Bombyx mori: one gene and its partner. Each later gene encodes a partner of the first gene's protein in a complex. Links are inferred from orthologs where the notes say so. Each region holds a gene or a part of one and is shown on either strand. Other genes may lie near its edges.

Evidence for each region.
Region 2: general transcription and DNA repair factor IIH helicase subunit XPD (region 1) and DNA-directed RNA polymerase II polypeptide share a complex: the UniProt entries of both Homo sapiens proteins name them as parts of the TBP-based Pol II pre-initiation complex. The link is inferred for Bombyx mori from reciprocal best matches to the Homo sapiens genes ERCC2 and POLR2C.

The regions. Positions count from the first base shown.
Region 1 is NC_085127.1:13,502,468-13,506,912, reverse strand, and holds the start of general transcription and DNA repair factor IIH helicase subunit XPD, read right to left. Parts: upstream 2,921-4,445; 5' UTR 2,747-2,920; coding exon 2,742-2,746; intron 2,671-2,741; coding exon 2,571-2,670; intron 2,481-2,570; coding exon 2,383-2,480; intron 2,308-2,382; coding exon 2,151-2,307; intron 1,258-2,150; coding exon 1,155-1,257; intron 1-1,154. Other genes in the region: zinc finger protein ZFP2, read left to right, coding at 3,342-3,449, 3,870-4,004. UniProt on the Homo sapiens protein: ATP-dependent 5'-3' DNA helicase. Component of the general transcription and DNA repair factor IIH (TFIIH) core complex, not absolutely essential for minimal transcription in vitro.
Region 2 is NC_085131.1:5,448,016-5,451,099, forward strand, and holds DNA-directed RNA polymerase II polypeptide, read right to left. Parts: upstream 1,497-3,084; 5' UTR 1,386-1,496; coding exon 558-1,385; 3' UTR 527-557; downstream 1-526. Other genes in the region: L-threonine ammonia-lyase, read left to right, coding at 2,977-3,003. UniProt on the Homo sapiens protein: Core component of RNA polymerase II (Pol II), a DNA-dependent RNA polymerase which synthesizes mRNA precursors and many functional non-coding RNAs using the four ribonucleoside triphosphates as substrates.

The DNA of each region.
Region 1 (4,445 bases):
CGGTTGTAAATATCTTATATCTATGCAAGTCTTTCATATACTAATAAAATACATAATAAGCAAATGTTCTCGATTAACTTCCAAGGTGAAAGAAATAACATTGTGTAATAAAAATAAAAACCGCAAAATTATAATTTGCGTAACTACTGGTGGTAGGACCTCTTGTGAGTCCGCGCGGGTAGGTACCACCACCCCGCCTATTTCTGCCGTGAAGCAGTAATGCATTTCGGTTTGAAGGGTGGGGCAGTCATTGTAACTATACTGAGACCTTAGAACTTTTATCTCAAGGTGGGTGGCGCATTTACGTTGTAGATGTCTATGGGCTCCAGTAACCACTTAACACCAGGTGGACTGTGAGCTCATCCACCCATCTAAGCAATAAATAAAAATAAAAAAACAGATTAATTTAGACATATTTTATATGAGTCGACTATTATCAAAGCCGGCAATCTGACTTTTGGACAATGATTGGTAAATCAGAAAAACGAATTATTGACTTTGTATTCCATTGGCAGTCACAAAACTCTTCTGAACGACATCTTAGATAAATAACAGGTTAAGTATTAACCTTTATTTAATGCAGGTTTTGAACCGTATTCTTTGAAGGAGACGATTATATTCAAATCAATCTGTATTGACATATCAATAGGAGCCTCTGGGTCTGCGGAGGGACTTCGGTTCCCTCTGTATTTTGTACCGTATGTTCCATGGGGAGTGCTCTGAGGAATTGTTCGAGATGATACCAGCATCTCGTTTTTACCATCGCACCGCCCGCCACCGGAGTAGAGTTCATCCATACAACCTGGAGCCACTGCGATCATCCACAGTGCGTTTCCAGAGATCTTTTTTGCCACGTACCATCCGGCTATGGAATGAGCTCCCCTCCATGGTGTTTCCCGAGCGCTATGACATGTCCTTCTTCAAACGAGGCTTGTGGAGAGTATTAAGCGGTAGGCAGCGGCTTGGCTCTGCCCCTGGCATTGCTGAAGTCCATGGGCGACGGTAACCACTCACCATCAGGTGGGCCGTATGCCCGTCTGCCTACAAAGGCAATAAAAAAAAAATAAAAAAAACATATCAATAAAATTTTTTTGTCCAAATGCACAGATTGCCACCTTTGATAATAGACAACTCATATCAAGGCGAGAACTTACAAATTGGCACAGAGCTATCACGTTCATGCCTGTCTCGTATATAGCTTGCTGTGAGGGCATGACATTTGCCATCTACAAGCTTCCCTTCTCTTTCTCTTGATACCTGTTATTAAAAAAAATTACAATAGATTAATTTTTCGATAATATCCTATTAATAAAATAAATTTAAGTATGCATTTTCTCTACGCATTATTTTCAAATGAAGTGATGAGAGGTAATCATATTATTATGTGGTCCACATTATTTATTTGGTGGAAATTTCCCATGATGCCAAAAGTCACCTATAAGTTTAATAATTAACTTAAGTTCTTTAATAAAATTTTGTAGTGCTTTTGTTTCTCTTTGAAATAAATAAATCAAGGGCTTATGAAATAAGAGCTTCGGGAATGAAGTATTTTTTAATTATTTTAATAAGTTTCATGAGGTCTCTTTTTGTTATATATTGTAAATCTTCATTAGTTAAAAATTTCAATTTTTTTTATTTATCTTGCTGTTTCAAACTGGAATCTATGCCCTAGTTCCTTAGGCTGATTACTATTTGAGGAGCACTCAAAAGGAGAAAACAATTTATGATCATTTATGTTTTTCTAGCAGAATGATAAAGCCACAAACATGGCACCTACTTTTTAGGTATTAAATTACGTACAAGTGTTTCATCCAGTATCCTGATACTGAAATTTAGCAATCACAAATCAATAGAGCATGGGTCAAGGGTGGAAGGTTCTAATATTTTTTGTCTATGCATTTGTTACTTAAATTTGTTTTAAAATAATTCCAAAACAAAAGTAGAGCAGAAACTGGGCGTTTTGGACATGACATGAGAGGAGCTAGAACAGACTGCCCAAGACTGATATAAATGGAAGAATTTTATTTGAGCCCTACATCACGGCCTAGGGAAATAGAAAAGAAAGAAGAAGATAATTCCAAAAATATAGTACTAATCATAGATAACAAATGCACAATATTTTTTGTTCAGACTTATAAATTGAAACTTACATCAGGATGAATACATAAGTTTTTCCTGGAACTAAGAACAACTCCTGTTAAGTTCGGTTTCTCTCCTTGAGATTTCTCATAATAATTGAATAAATTCTTTAGTTCTTCTAACACTTTTTCTATTTCTGGCACTGTACGAGAGCAGTAGATTAACTTTCTGAAAAAGTATATGTACATATTTTTTTATAATTAATTAATTTTAATCATTAATGTTCTTGTTCATTTTAATTACCTGACATGATGAGGGTTCTGTATCATATAAGCTACGATTAAAGACAGGAGCGATATGGTTTTTCCGGTTCCGGAAGGCATCTCTAACAATCCATGTCCCTACAAGTTCAAGCAAGATACACAACATAACCTTAAAATTTTAGGATTTTGTTTAAAGTAGATTCCTTTTTTAATACAGATTTTGAATACCTTAGCGTCCAATGCACGTTTTAACTCTAACATATAAGCATACTGTTCCGGATAAATGTAATCGTATGGGAAATAGACCAATAAACCATCGACAGTTAGCCTGAAAAAGTAATGAGATTATTAAATTAATGGTATTTGTTTTTTTTATATATTCATTTATTAGTGACATACTTCATGGTGAAAATATAAGCCCTTCACAACTATCTATTTTAAATAATTATAAACAAACAAGTCAAGCAATACATGAATTAATTAAATAACCACTTTGTTTTGATTCGAGTGACAGACATATATTAAGTGTATAATCTATGTGACAGACTACCACAGAACACTATTACTTGCAGACTACCTACATTAAAAACTAATAATTTTTAATGGCTTTTATAACCTGGTAACTAAGACTTTTAAGTCATGTCTTATTTTAATTTATATAATTATTTTTATGAAAAATGATAAAATGGAGTGAAATGAAATGAAATGATAAATGACCACCATTTTACTGCGATTATATTTCATCCCATATCATCTCATCTCATTTCATTTTATTTCATCCTAGTTGATTAATGTCTCAAAATTATCATCTTGATTTCATTTCACTCCATATTATCATTTTTCATAAAAATAAGAATACCTATAAATTAAAATAAGACATGACCTAAAGGTCTTAGTTACCAGGTCATAAAATCACTTAAAAAAAGTGTAAGAAAGAAAAACACAAATAGTGACAAAATGACAAAATTAACATAGCAAAACATTGTTATTTTGATAATTATGGGGAGCGATACAGTCTGTCGGATCTGTCTGGAATTTAATGTTAAAATGTACAGTTTAAAGTTTTATCCATTGGAGACCTATTATGAAGATATCGTAGAAGTTAACGTAAGTTACATTCATTCGGAAAAGCTATTGTGTTGGATTTGTAACGTTTGACCGGGTTCTAGTTTGTATAGGAATTGAATTTGGTTTTTGTAATATTTAATAGTGAATTAAACAGTTTGTCATAATAATGATATTCCGTGAAAAGTAAATGCAACTTCTAAGATAAAAACAACAATTCTAACCTCAAATCCCGTAGAGCACGAATAATTATAAACTAGTAGATAGGTCGGCCTTTTTTTTACTGTCCTACATTGTTCCAATTTTCAATAAAAAAACGTGTATCAAAACAAAAACATGTGTATTTAAAAAAAAAAAATTATAATACCTTATTTGGATTCGCTGCTTGCTGCTTAATTGCTTTGGGATTATAATTGTTTATTCATACTTTGTTAATTGACGATGTTTTTATTTATTTTGCAGCCCGAATGTTCTCCAGATCTACCACAGTGTGTATGTTATCTTTGTGCAGGATTATTGAAAAAGTATAGCAGATTTAAAAGTAAATGCTTAGTTGCACAATCCTTATTTTATAAAATACTAAAGTCTGGTAAAAAGGTAATATTAGATTTTGTTCAAACCTTTTGTTAGACATTTTTATAAGTATAGGATGCATATTCTTTGGATCGTAGAAGTTAGTGCTATGATTTGTTCTAGCTTTTTCTCTCTGCTGAACAAAAATATAATCAAATATAAGTTTAACTAACTGTAGATCTAAAATTGGGAAACTAGACAAAACTAAATTACATAAAATTATTCAATTATGAAATATTAAATATAAATTATTAAAAAATGTGTGTCAAATCATGCTGATTATTCTAACTGAATTGGTGTCATATTATGGAAACAATCCTAACACATGCTCACAAAAGATTTCCAAGGATTAATTACGTGATAAAATAATAAATAAATCCACACATACTAAAAACCTTCCTTCCTTTTGTGTTTTCTAGAGATCTTTTAACAGTAAACAAACTGCTTGTAATGAATTCATTAAAC
Region 2 (3,084 bases), on another chromosome or scaffold:
TACTGCTGTGTATAAAGTGACAAATGTTTTAATTGATTATGTATACATAATAATAAAACAATATTGGTTCTAAGTTTCTATACTTTTATGAAAGTTTAACTACTTAAATTAATATGTACAATGAATTAAACAGAAATTATTGTAACATTAATTTTTTTGTCCATATCTATGTATCAGAAAGTAAAATTTCCTTTTTTATTTAGTAGCTACTGAGTATCTTCTTAGGCAAAAAGCTGCAGATTATTATTAAATCATATGTTTCTTGTGATTACAAGGCCGTAGTATTAATTTGTGTTTAAAGTTGTATTCATGTTGTGCAAGTTGTGTATAAACCTCTTAATTGCATTCCACAAGTATTACTAGTTTTTGATGTGAAACAGAAACATTCACTTTAGTATGATTTTTTCTCAAAAAGACTGCAGACTGAAATACTGTGTATAACATTCTAAGCTTTTGAAAAATGAAGGCTTATACACACCATAAGGTAAAATGTAAACTTAAATTACAAAAACATTTATTATCTAATTAAATTTATTGTAATATTAGATTTTATGAAATCAATTAATTGCTAAGGCATCATTTTGTGCCTCTTGCGCTAACTGCACTTGAAGATTCAGTAATTTGTTTTTCAGTACAACTATTCCCATTAATACAATATTCTCTGGTTTAAGAGCTCCTGATGATTCTACATTATAAAAGAATTTGTTTGGTTTCGCTTCCCAGTTGAAGTCCGCCTCATACTGATCTTCATTAAGTTCAGTGTGCTCGCTTTTGGGCCATTCATCTGGTTTTGGATATAACGTATGTCTCATTATATTATCAGGGTCATATTCAAAGGACACACCAGCAGTTGGATTCCATTTTGCATGCTCTTTCCCAAAACCTTTTTTTGCATATGCCCGAAGCTTCAATTCCTGACCCTTGCGTAACTTAATGATCAATATTTCATCTGCTTCACCATAATCGGCCTGGTCTTCATCTCTATGTCGTGATGTAACAGGGACAACTCTAGGATCGCTCGATTTCAAATCAGCAGTTGTTACATGTCTTGTTTGTTCATCTGTGCATTTTACGTCTAATGTAAATTCGACACTGCATTCGGAACAAAAATCAACACACATGCAATCACGCGAGTACCTGATTTTGTCTACAACGTCGTCTGATATGAGCGGAATGAGACCGATGCGGTGTGCTAAGAATTCATCGCTCAAAACGGTGGAATTAGCTTCTAACTGTACCCAATCGATGGCCATTGTTGGTGTTTCAGCGATAAATACGCGTCTCATACTGTTTGCTACGCTTAATTCGGTATCTTCCACAACGAATTTTACATTTTCATCAGATAGTTCTGTTATGTGAACAGAGGGTTGATTTGCGTAAGGCATTTTCTGTTTCTTAAATCTAATTTAATGAATTAGGTTTCTTTTTAATGAAACTAACACCATCTAATATATAACAAAATAAATAACGAATAACACTTCCAAACAATCAACTTGTTAGCCAAATTCTAACCTCTGTGCTTGTCACATATTTTTTGTTTCATTTACTACACAGACAAAGGGAACGAAGCTCATACAACCAATTTTTTTGTAATAAAGATGTTTAACCTTGCTGGTGAATGAATGTAAAATGGAACTAAGCTAACCTTATGTATCATCATCATCAACTTATAGTAGTTCAACGCTGAAAATAGGCCTCTCCAATTGCCGAGCACGATCTTCAGCTTCTCTCACTCATTCTTGCCAGCCTTATGTATGTGTTGAATGAACTGAAATGATGTATATAACGTTTCGGTAAAATGCTGGAAATTAACTAAGAGCTCAATGGAGTTTTTGGAAGAAGCCAGTAGACCTGTAGTCGTCGTGGCCTAAAGGATAAACGTCCGGTACATTCGTATCTAGCGATGCAACGGTGTCCGAGTTCCGCAGGCGGGTACCAATTTTTCTAATGAAATACGTACTTGACATATTACATCGTGTAATAAAAGTCAAACCCGCAAAATTATAGTGTGAGTCCGGACGGGTAGGTACCACCACCCTGCCTATCTCTGCCGTGAAGCAGTAATGCGTTTCAGTTTGAAGGGTGGGGCAACCGTTGTAACTATACGGAGACCTTAGAACTTATATCTCAAGGTGGGTGGTGCATTTACGTTTTAGATGTCTATGGGCTTCAGTAACCACTTAACACCAGGTGGGCTGTGAGCTCGTCCACACATCTAGGCAACAAAAAAACCAAAGATGCCACATCCTGCGGTTAACTTTAATTTTCCCACTCTTTTCATCAATTAATTTCGGTAATTAAAATATGACTATAACGAGACTTCTTGTAGTTGTGGCTATGTAAATAAAGGACAACTAGGTTATCTTCGACATAAGCTATGTGCAGTGGCGTAACGATCTAAACTCGCGTGGAAACTCCCCTTTTTTCCTTTTTATTTACGAATTAACATTTATTATAGTACATTGGTACTAAATTAAAAATATATTTTTTAGAAATCAATTATAAAAAAAAAATCAGCAATTTTTTGTTTTGCGGACCATTTGGCGCCCCTTTGTGAATAGCGCCCGGGGCATGATCCCCCCTTGCCCCCCCTCGCTACGCCACTGGCTATCTCTATAAACCAAATCACTAAAATATATTCATATGTATTAATATTCACTAGAATATTATTAATTACGCAGTAAATAATGATTGTCGAGTTAACGTACTCCGTTGTTCCTTATCATTTCCAATTATAAACAACATTCAGTTAATAAATCTGTAGCTTGGCACTTGTGTTGCCAAATTAACTGTTACAAAATATATTTTAATTGGAACTATACTTGTACTGTAACTATACTTGAGGCCTTAGAACTTGTATCTCAAGGTGGGAGGCGCATTTACGTTGTGGATGTCTATGGGCTCCAGTAACCACTTAACACCAGGTGGGCTGTGAGCTCGTCCACCTATCTAAGCAATAAAAAAAAAAGTTTTTAAATGGAGCGTTACAAGTGTGAGCCCTCGGTGAGTAATATTATCTAATTATTTCCCAACGATACGTATTGAATGTTTCTATTGCAGTGCAGTATTTCACCTATTGACCTT